2 linked regions of the Caenorhabditis elegans genome follow. The protein of the gene in region 2 purifies or fractionates together with the protein of the main gene of each other region. This does not show direct contact. Each region holds a gene or a part of one and is shown on either strand. Other genes may lie near its edges.

Region 1 (2,672 bases), on a different chromosome or scaffold from region 2:
ACAAAGTGGAGAGCTCGCGTGTGAACGCTGGAACCCGACTCAAAGCGTCCGAACCATCCTTCTCTCGGTCATCTCACTGCTCAACGAGCCGAACACCTCGTCACCGGCCAACGTCGACGCGTCAGTGATGTACCGTAAATGGAAGGAGGATCAGGACCCGGAATACGCGAAAATCGTCACGAAGCAGGTGGAAGAGTCGAAGAAAGTCGCACAGAAAGATGGAATTCAAGTGCCCGAAACGATTGAGGAGTACTGTGTGAAATGGGCTCCACCACAACAGGATGATGTCTTTGACGACATTGATTATAGTAGGGTTTTCTCGAAATTTGAGCGATTTTGGCGTAAAATAGCGCTTTTTAACGGGAATTTTACAGTCACATTGGCCAGAAAATGATAAAAATCGACATTTTTGATGTCTAAAGTGAATTAAGACTAAAAATTTCATCTTCTACGCTAAAAATGTCTTATATTTTGCGTTTTTTGCACTAAAACTGGCTATTTTTGGTAAAATTCAAAAATTGTCAGTTTTTAGTCGAAATATCCGCAAAATTATACACTTTTTTCAAAAAAAATTGCCGATTTTTCAGGTAAATTGCCAGAAATCGCACGAATTCACGGATTTCTGGCTTCCCTTATAAATTGAAATGGAAGAGTTTTTGCCGAACTAGTCCAGGCCACCATATCTGGGGTAGATTTACGGCGCGTTGCGTGTCGCGCCGCGGCTCGATTTTAGTTGTAAAACTAAATGTATTTGTCCGTGTGGAGTACACGACTTTCCCACACGTTTTCCGGCGGGCGATTGTCAATGGAGCGCGAAAAATTCAATGAGGAAGGTCAGAACCCCGTGACCTCAAAAACCTCAAAAAAAAGTCTATTTTTCGCAAATTTAGTTGTAAAATTCCCGAGAAAATTGGATTTTTCAGTTAAAAACCCGGATTTTTGCCAAATTTTCAATTAAATATCGATTTTTTTCAGACGACGATTTCGGGTGTGACTATGACGACGATGAAGAGGAGGAGGACGAGGACGAATGCGGCTCGGACTATAATGATGATGACGAGGATTCGGGACAAGGAGAAAATTAGTCAATTTTTTTTAATTTTCTATAATTTTTTCCCCATTTTTTTTCTCAATTTTCTCAATTTTCCAACCTAGAAAAATTCAAATTCATATCAAATATACCACGAAATCTTGGCGCTTCTTTCAAACAAAAAATCTTCAAAATCCGACTCAACTAGTCCTTTTCTCAATGCATTTATATGTACACTTTTGCCCTTCCCAAGCAGCTATCAATTCATATTTGTGTTATACTCAATATTTTTTCGTCTGGAAACAGTTTTTTTTGTCCAATTACACACACACACAGGCTGATCACAGTGCACTTTCAACTATTTTTGTTTTCTATAAATGAAGCCTTCTTTTTTCTAAATTGTCTCGGAAAATTGCAGATTTAGAGTTGAATTCTCAAAAAATAAGTCGATTTAATCCGAAAAAAACATTTTTTTCGCAAGTCTGCATTTTTGCGTCACGGTGTTTGCGGACACTGTAGAAAATAATTTTTTTTGAAGCAAAATCGCAATTTTAACGCATTTTTCTCTTGATTTTAACATATTTTTACTCTAAAAACCCGTGAAAGTAATATTTTTTCTCAATTTCAGCACTCTAGAAAATGAGCAAACGACAGAATCCCGCCGAATTCCTGAAGAAAGTCATCGGAAAGCCGGTTGTGGTGAAGCTCAACTCTGGCGTCGACTACCGTGGCATTCTCGCATGTCTCGACGGGTTAGTGATTGGGAAAAATCAAAAAATCTGATTAAAAACACCTGAAAATTAATTTTTCTTCCAGAAAAATTACGAAAAAATCTAATTTTTCAGATATATGAACATCGCGCTCGAACAAACCGAAGAATACAGCAACGGACAACTTCAGAACAAGTACGGCGATGCGTTCATCCGCGGGAACAATGTGCTCTACATCTCCACATCGACGAAATAACTTTTTTTTGATTTCGATTTATTTTCCAAATATTTTTCCCTTTTTTGAGCTATTTTGAGCAAATTTCTTGTTTGATACGTTTGGATCTCGAATAAATTTGTGTTTTTTTTTTCGCCGAAAATCTGAGTTATTTCGCTCGAAAACAGGCTTTTTCAGCAAAAATCGAGAAATTTCTTGGGTTTCCTCACCGTTAGACGCGTCGCGGTCATGCGTCACGTGCGGTGGGTCTCACCACGATTCGATTTACGGGGAAGCATTTTCGAAAAAAAGAAGACATTTTTAAGTCAATTTATCGCGTTTTCATCGATTTTTCGAGCTTTTCCGGTGATTTTTTCGATTTTTCAACTCAAATTTCGAATTCTACGTATTTTTGTGCCACTTTCACTGCAACAATCGCAATTTTCAGACAATTTTCAAAAGGATAATGCCACCCGGACCACTTCCCGCCTTAGTAAGTTGATTTTTTTTTTGATTTAAAAACTGATTAACTTTTGCTCTCCGAGTGGTAAGTGATAATTTGTAATGATATGCGATCACACTAAGGCTAAACCGCCTTGCGATGATCTTTCCACCCGCACTGGAAAAGGAGAATTAGGCGGTTTTCTGCCGCCCGATATGTGATCGCACATTTCAAATGATACCATTCAAAAACTATACCTAATTTCATAGTGAAAAG
Region 2 (5,445 bases):
GTAAATTGGCCCTTGCTGCTCGCGAACAAACCATCAAGGGAAAATCTGTGAGTTCTTGTTTTTTTTCCTCGCCTACTTAAATGGCACTAAAAAGATATAAGTTCAATTGACAATAAACATATTTCTTGTTATAGGTCGAGGTAAAGCCAGCAAAATCGAGGGAAAACAAGAAGGTGTTTGTTGGAGGACTCCCATCGGACTACAGCGAGCAAGATCTTCGCTCTCATTTCGAACAATTCGGCAAGGTCGACGACATTGAATGGCCATTCGATAAGCAGACCAAGGCTCGTCGCAACTTCGCTTTTATCGTATTCGAGGAGGAGGAGTCCGCAGACAAAGCATCTTCCCAGACAAAACAGACCTTCGGAACTCGCGAATGTGACGTGAAAAAAGCAGTTCCACAAGGAAAACGGTTCCCAGGCGCCCAAGGGCGTATGCCAGGTGGTCGCGGAATGTATGGTGGACGTGGTGGAAATAACAACTCGGGATGGTATGCTGGATGGGGACAAATTGGAGCTATGCCATACGGAGCTACTGGAGCAGCTTGGGGAGACTGGTACGGAAACGGTTATTACGGCCAACAAGGTGCAGCACATCACAACAACAGCGGATCATCGCAAGGTTACGGAAGCGGATACCAGAGTTAGTTTTGTTACTATTTGATTCCATGTCTTGTGACTCATTCCACAAGGAATGCATCAGTATACTTATTCTATCAGGTTTTGCAGGAAATAACAGTGGATTCGATTACCAACAAGCTCAAGGAGCCAGACAGGGCAACAATGGCCAACCACGCTTCCAACAGCAGCCACAACAACAAACTGCTCAAGCCCAACAGTTCTAAATGTGCCTTCAGAACATCACCTCAATCACCATCTGAAATGCCTCCATCACAGTCCTCTTCAGAATTCCTGTTTCCTTCCTACCTAATCTTTCAAAAAATGTCCAAATTGTTTTGTCCTCACGCCCAGACTCAATCAAAAGCAGTTACAAATCGACCCTAAATTTCTAACGCGCGTTTTTCTTTAATTCCTTTTTTGGCAATGACGATCTGAGATGTGTTGTTCCCGAGGTTGAATTTTATATCGAACCAGTTTGTTTTGTTTCTCTGATTCTCACCCAAACTATCATCGACTCTCAACTTTTTTCCGTTGGTAATCTTTGATTTGAATAACTCCAGGAATAATAATAACATACTTTTGTTGTTTTAGATGATGTTCTTGTGAACATAATACTTTATCCACCCGCCTTTTTAGATGTGTAGAAGTACTTTATTTCCATCAGTTTTTTCAGTCATTTTTTGTTGTTTTAATTGTTTCGCTCGTTTTTTCTTTGAGCGATTCTGCGGCAGAAAACAAACTGTATTTTTACTTCTCTTCCCTAAAGTCTGTATGCTTCGCCCCCAATTTTTGTCTTTTAGTTGTTGTTATGGTGCTTTTTCCTTTGTTCAGGAACTGGTAACCAATTAGACTGTGCAATTCACTGTAGTTGTCAAGTATATTCACATTGAATTGTGCAGTTAGTTGTTAATTTCCCTCATCTCATTGAAGTGTATCTGATGAATCGTCAGGTGTCCCGTCTTCGTCTAATCTCACAACACCCAGCCACCCAACAAAAGCTTCTCCCTTTTTCTCCTTCGTTTTTTGCCAATCTCACCCGTAAATTCGCTCCCAAAAGCCCCCCCCCAACCGATTCTAATAACTGCCTCTTCGTTTGACATGTTATTTGTTGTCACATTCGTTTTTAATGTATGATAGATTCATGTCAAACATTTGTGTTGATATTAAGCTGAGAATGAAATTTTTGAGGACTAGTTGTTCTTATATTATCATTAAATTTTTATGCTTCATGAATTGAATGCGAACAGGTGGGTTGCCGTGAAAAATATCTCACTTGGGAACAATAAACTTCAATATTTAGAAGTCAATTTTCAGATAAAATATGACTTCAACTCTAGATGCGTACATGAATCGGATGGTGAACGTGGTCACTGGTGATGGTCGGGTTATCGTTGGACTTCTGAAGGTAAAATATCTAGAAAGAAATGTTGCTTCTGCACTTGGCGACAAAGGTTCGAGCCTTTGTCAAGAAATTTCAAAAATGCAGCACATCTTGATTATTATAAAACACGAGATTTTGAATCCCAACTTTGAAGAAATTGTTCAAAAAGACTGAGCTTATGTGTCGGATTAAATAATTAAATTATGTTACCTTTTAAAATTTCAATATTTTATTCAATTATACAATTTTAGGGATTCGATCAATTAATCAACTTGGTGATTGAAGATGCTCACGAAAGGTCGTATTCTGAGACGGAAGGTGTGCTCACGACACCATTGGGACTATATATTATTCGAGGAGAGAATGTGTAAGTTGAAAATTGACGGGACATAATTTAAAAATCGATTTTACCTTGTCACGGTGCTCTGCTTTTGGAATTTATAGGTTTTCTGCGACTAAAATTAGTTGTTGATGAAGAGTTTAGAAATGTCTCTTCTTGAATATCTACTTCATTTATTCCGATGAATTTTACTTCCGAGTTCCCGTACCACCCAATCCGTGGGTCAAACGATCAACAAACCCTCGAAAACATTGGACTCGGCATGCTTTTCCTTCCATTCCGTGCACATTATCGAAAAACTGACCAATTGTTTCAATTGAGTAGTGGCGGAGCCGCCTGCTTCAGCAAAGAAGCTCTTGATCATGTACGAGAGTGTTAAAAACCAAGACAGTTTTTATTGCTCAAAATCCATGGTCTTCTCTTGTTGAGAGGAGATGTTGGACTTTTAATAAAAGACCGGGTACAAATGTTGAACATTTGGAGCATTTTATCTGGATTTTTTTTTCACATCGCCCCATTAAACCTTATAAAAAGCTTCACATCGCCTTGCTTGTTGCAAATTCGCTCTATCGCCATTCTTCAATCTTTTCGAATCTAAAAACTCGTTGGTCATTATGTACTCTCTATTTCACCCGGTCTCTCTCTTCTGTTCTTTCTTTTGGAGTGCTCTACGGACCAATTGCTTCAAATGAATTATCGATTTTTTAAATTGTCGCGTTAGAATAGTTTCTCTGTGTTAAAACAGATCGACCTAATTTCAATTATCATCAAGAGTTTTTTTTTCTATTCGATTCAATCTTTTCCGATGACATTAATCATCCGTTTTTTATAATGTTGCACCCATGCGATGATAAGATTTAATTGTGGTCGTTGACTATCAGTGCTGAGAATGGAATTTTCTCGTTCAATTCACTTCAAAACGGGTCAATGTTATCATCTCAGAAACATCAAATTGATTTTACTTCATTTCTTCCAGTTGAATATTTTCTATAACGTTCCGTCGACATACCTTCGCCAGTCAACATTGAGTCATCATTTAAAAAAAAAAGAAAGGTGCAAGTAGTCCTGGTACCTGATGTTCTATAACAACCAGATCAAGTGCTTCTGTTGTTCCTTTGATCATTCAGCTTTCGGCAGCCGTCTAAAAACATAGCAACTGGTCGTTTCTTGTGCTCTGTTACGGTCGGAAACACGGAAAAGTCGGGGAAGCATGACGTGTCAAAACATCTCTTCCAATCGTTCGGCATTTTCTCGCCCTCAATCACAATTTGATGCTTGACCAATATGATTGCCCGAAGCCTTGCAGCAGCACCAGCAATTTATTTTGTTTGTACTCTTCACATTTTCGCCGGCAACAAAAAAAAACAACGAAAGAGGGAAATAGTTATAGTGAACGAGAGAACGAATACGAAAATGGACAACGCGATGGGAAAAATGTTGAAAAAGTATCCGTTTTCCTATTCTATGTCGGAGCTTCACAACTTGCTTACTAGGTTTTCAGTTTTCAGTTTTACTTTGTCGTTTCTATCTGAAAAGCGCTTATAGTTAAAACATATTCAGTTAAGTTCCAAACGAACTAAAACTTTAAAAAAAAAACTCCTCGTTGAGCGAATGCGATTGATTATTTTATTGAAGTCTCTAAATTGGCTCTTCCAGTCTCTGTTCAATACCTAATTGTTTTCTGATTAGTTTCATTATATTTATTGATTTTTCGTTTCCGATACACCACTCTTCTCTATACTCCACTCCAAATGTCAAGTGATAAATACTCATATTTCGAAATAGTTTATTTTTGGATAGGATACCCCTTCTGGCCCTATTCATGTCCCATTCAAAACACAATTTTATGAAATCTTTTCTCACTTTTCGTCAGTGTAATATAGCTGGAAAAGATTAATGTAGACATGCGTCAAATGTCCGAAACTTTCACAATTTCACACCTTTCAATTCATTCCGTTCGAACTTTGTTCAAAGAAAATGTGATTCCATGAAAAAAGTGTTCGGAACCTGTTCTGTTTCCCTCTGGAGAGGGGTGGAGAAATTATCGGAACACTTTTTCATTGCAAAAGTTGAAACTAAACTTTTAAAGCTATGATGTATATATATATAAAGACCAATTCTGCAACTACTGTAGATTTTTCCAAATGTTTCTTTTTGAAAATCTATCATTTTTCAGAGCGATTATCGGTGAAATCGATGAAGAACTCGACAAACGCGTTGATCTGGAAAATGTGAAAGCGGCCCCACTTGCACCAATTTGGATTCCCCAATAATTTCCACACAAATCGATATTCTGCATTGACGCGTTGTATTGACTGGTTATTCTCATCGTTTCCCCCCACCATTTCTTCTCCCCATTTAAATCATTTTTCCCAAACTATTCTCCATTCTTTTCTTGTTTCCTTGACGGTTTTGTATTCATACCATCGTTTCTTTACCATTTTTGGATCTCTAATTTCCTCTCAAATATTGTGAAAATTTATACATATTTATTTGCTTTGTTTTTAATAGTTAATGTATTAAATATGCATTTATTCAAATTGCAACGTCATTGTATTTTTTCGTGTTTCAACCGTTTGTTTATCGGTTTAACATTTCTTTTTTTAATATCGTTTCCTCGTTGAACTTTGCCATTTCACAGAAATAACCTTGCAGAAAATATTCCAGTGCTCGATTTCAACGGAATATACGGATCGAAGTTGCAAAATGAGCAGTATCAGAGTGAGTTAAATAGAATGGGGAAAGGATAATTTTGAACAAGAGTTTTTGCGCGTTTTTCAACTTTCCTACCAGAATAAAAGCATAAAGTAAAAATCGATAAACATTTTTTCCAGAACCAGAACGACAATCGTCGACCAACATTCCGTGATCATCGTACACCACAATTTAGCGGTCGTGGTGGTAGTGGTGGTGGCGGACGCCGTCTTCAAAATCCAGCTCATTATCCACAACGCAGAGATATGTCGCCGATTCGCAGATCTTCAGCAATTTCACCAGTCAGACGTTCACAGGATCATCGCCAACGTTCGCCTGAAGTTCGACGTCATCGATCACCGGAAAAGGAGTCAAAAGACGCAGTGGTTGGTAGATTCACACTCACACCC

Evidence for each region.
Region 1: the proteins of lsm-8 (region 2) and lsm-6 fractionate together in Caenorhabditis elegans (co-fractionation; one large-scale study listed by BioGRID). This does not show direct contact.

Annotation. Positions count from the first base shown.
Region 1 is NC_003279.8:1,699,703-1,702,374, forward strand, and holds lsm-6 (U6 snRNA-associated Sm-like protein LSm6), read left to right. Parts: upstream 1-1,658; 5' UTR 1,659-1,669; coding exon 1,670-1,782; intron 1,783-1,875; coding exon 1,876-1,996; 3' UTR 1,997-2,106; downstream 2,107-2,672. Other genes in the region: ubc-3 (UBC core domain-containing protein), read left to right, coding at 1-308, 976-1,085; Y71G12B.13 (RING-type domain-containing protein), read left to right, coding at 2,421-2,447.
Region 2 is NC_003282.8:6,324,592-6,330,036, forward strand, and holds lsm-8 (U6 snRNA-associated Sm-like protein LSm8), read left to right. Parts: upstream 1-1,934; 5' UTR 1,935-1,941; coding exon 1,942-2,025; intron 2,026-2,252; coding exon 2,253-2,368; intron 2,369-4,517; coding exon 4,518-4,614; 3' UTR 4,615-4,888; downstream 4,889-5,445. Other genes in the region: sqd-1 (RRM domain-containing protein), read left to right, coding at 1-47, 135-642, 720-844; Protein seu-1, read left to right, coding at 5,048-5,062, 5,176-5,421.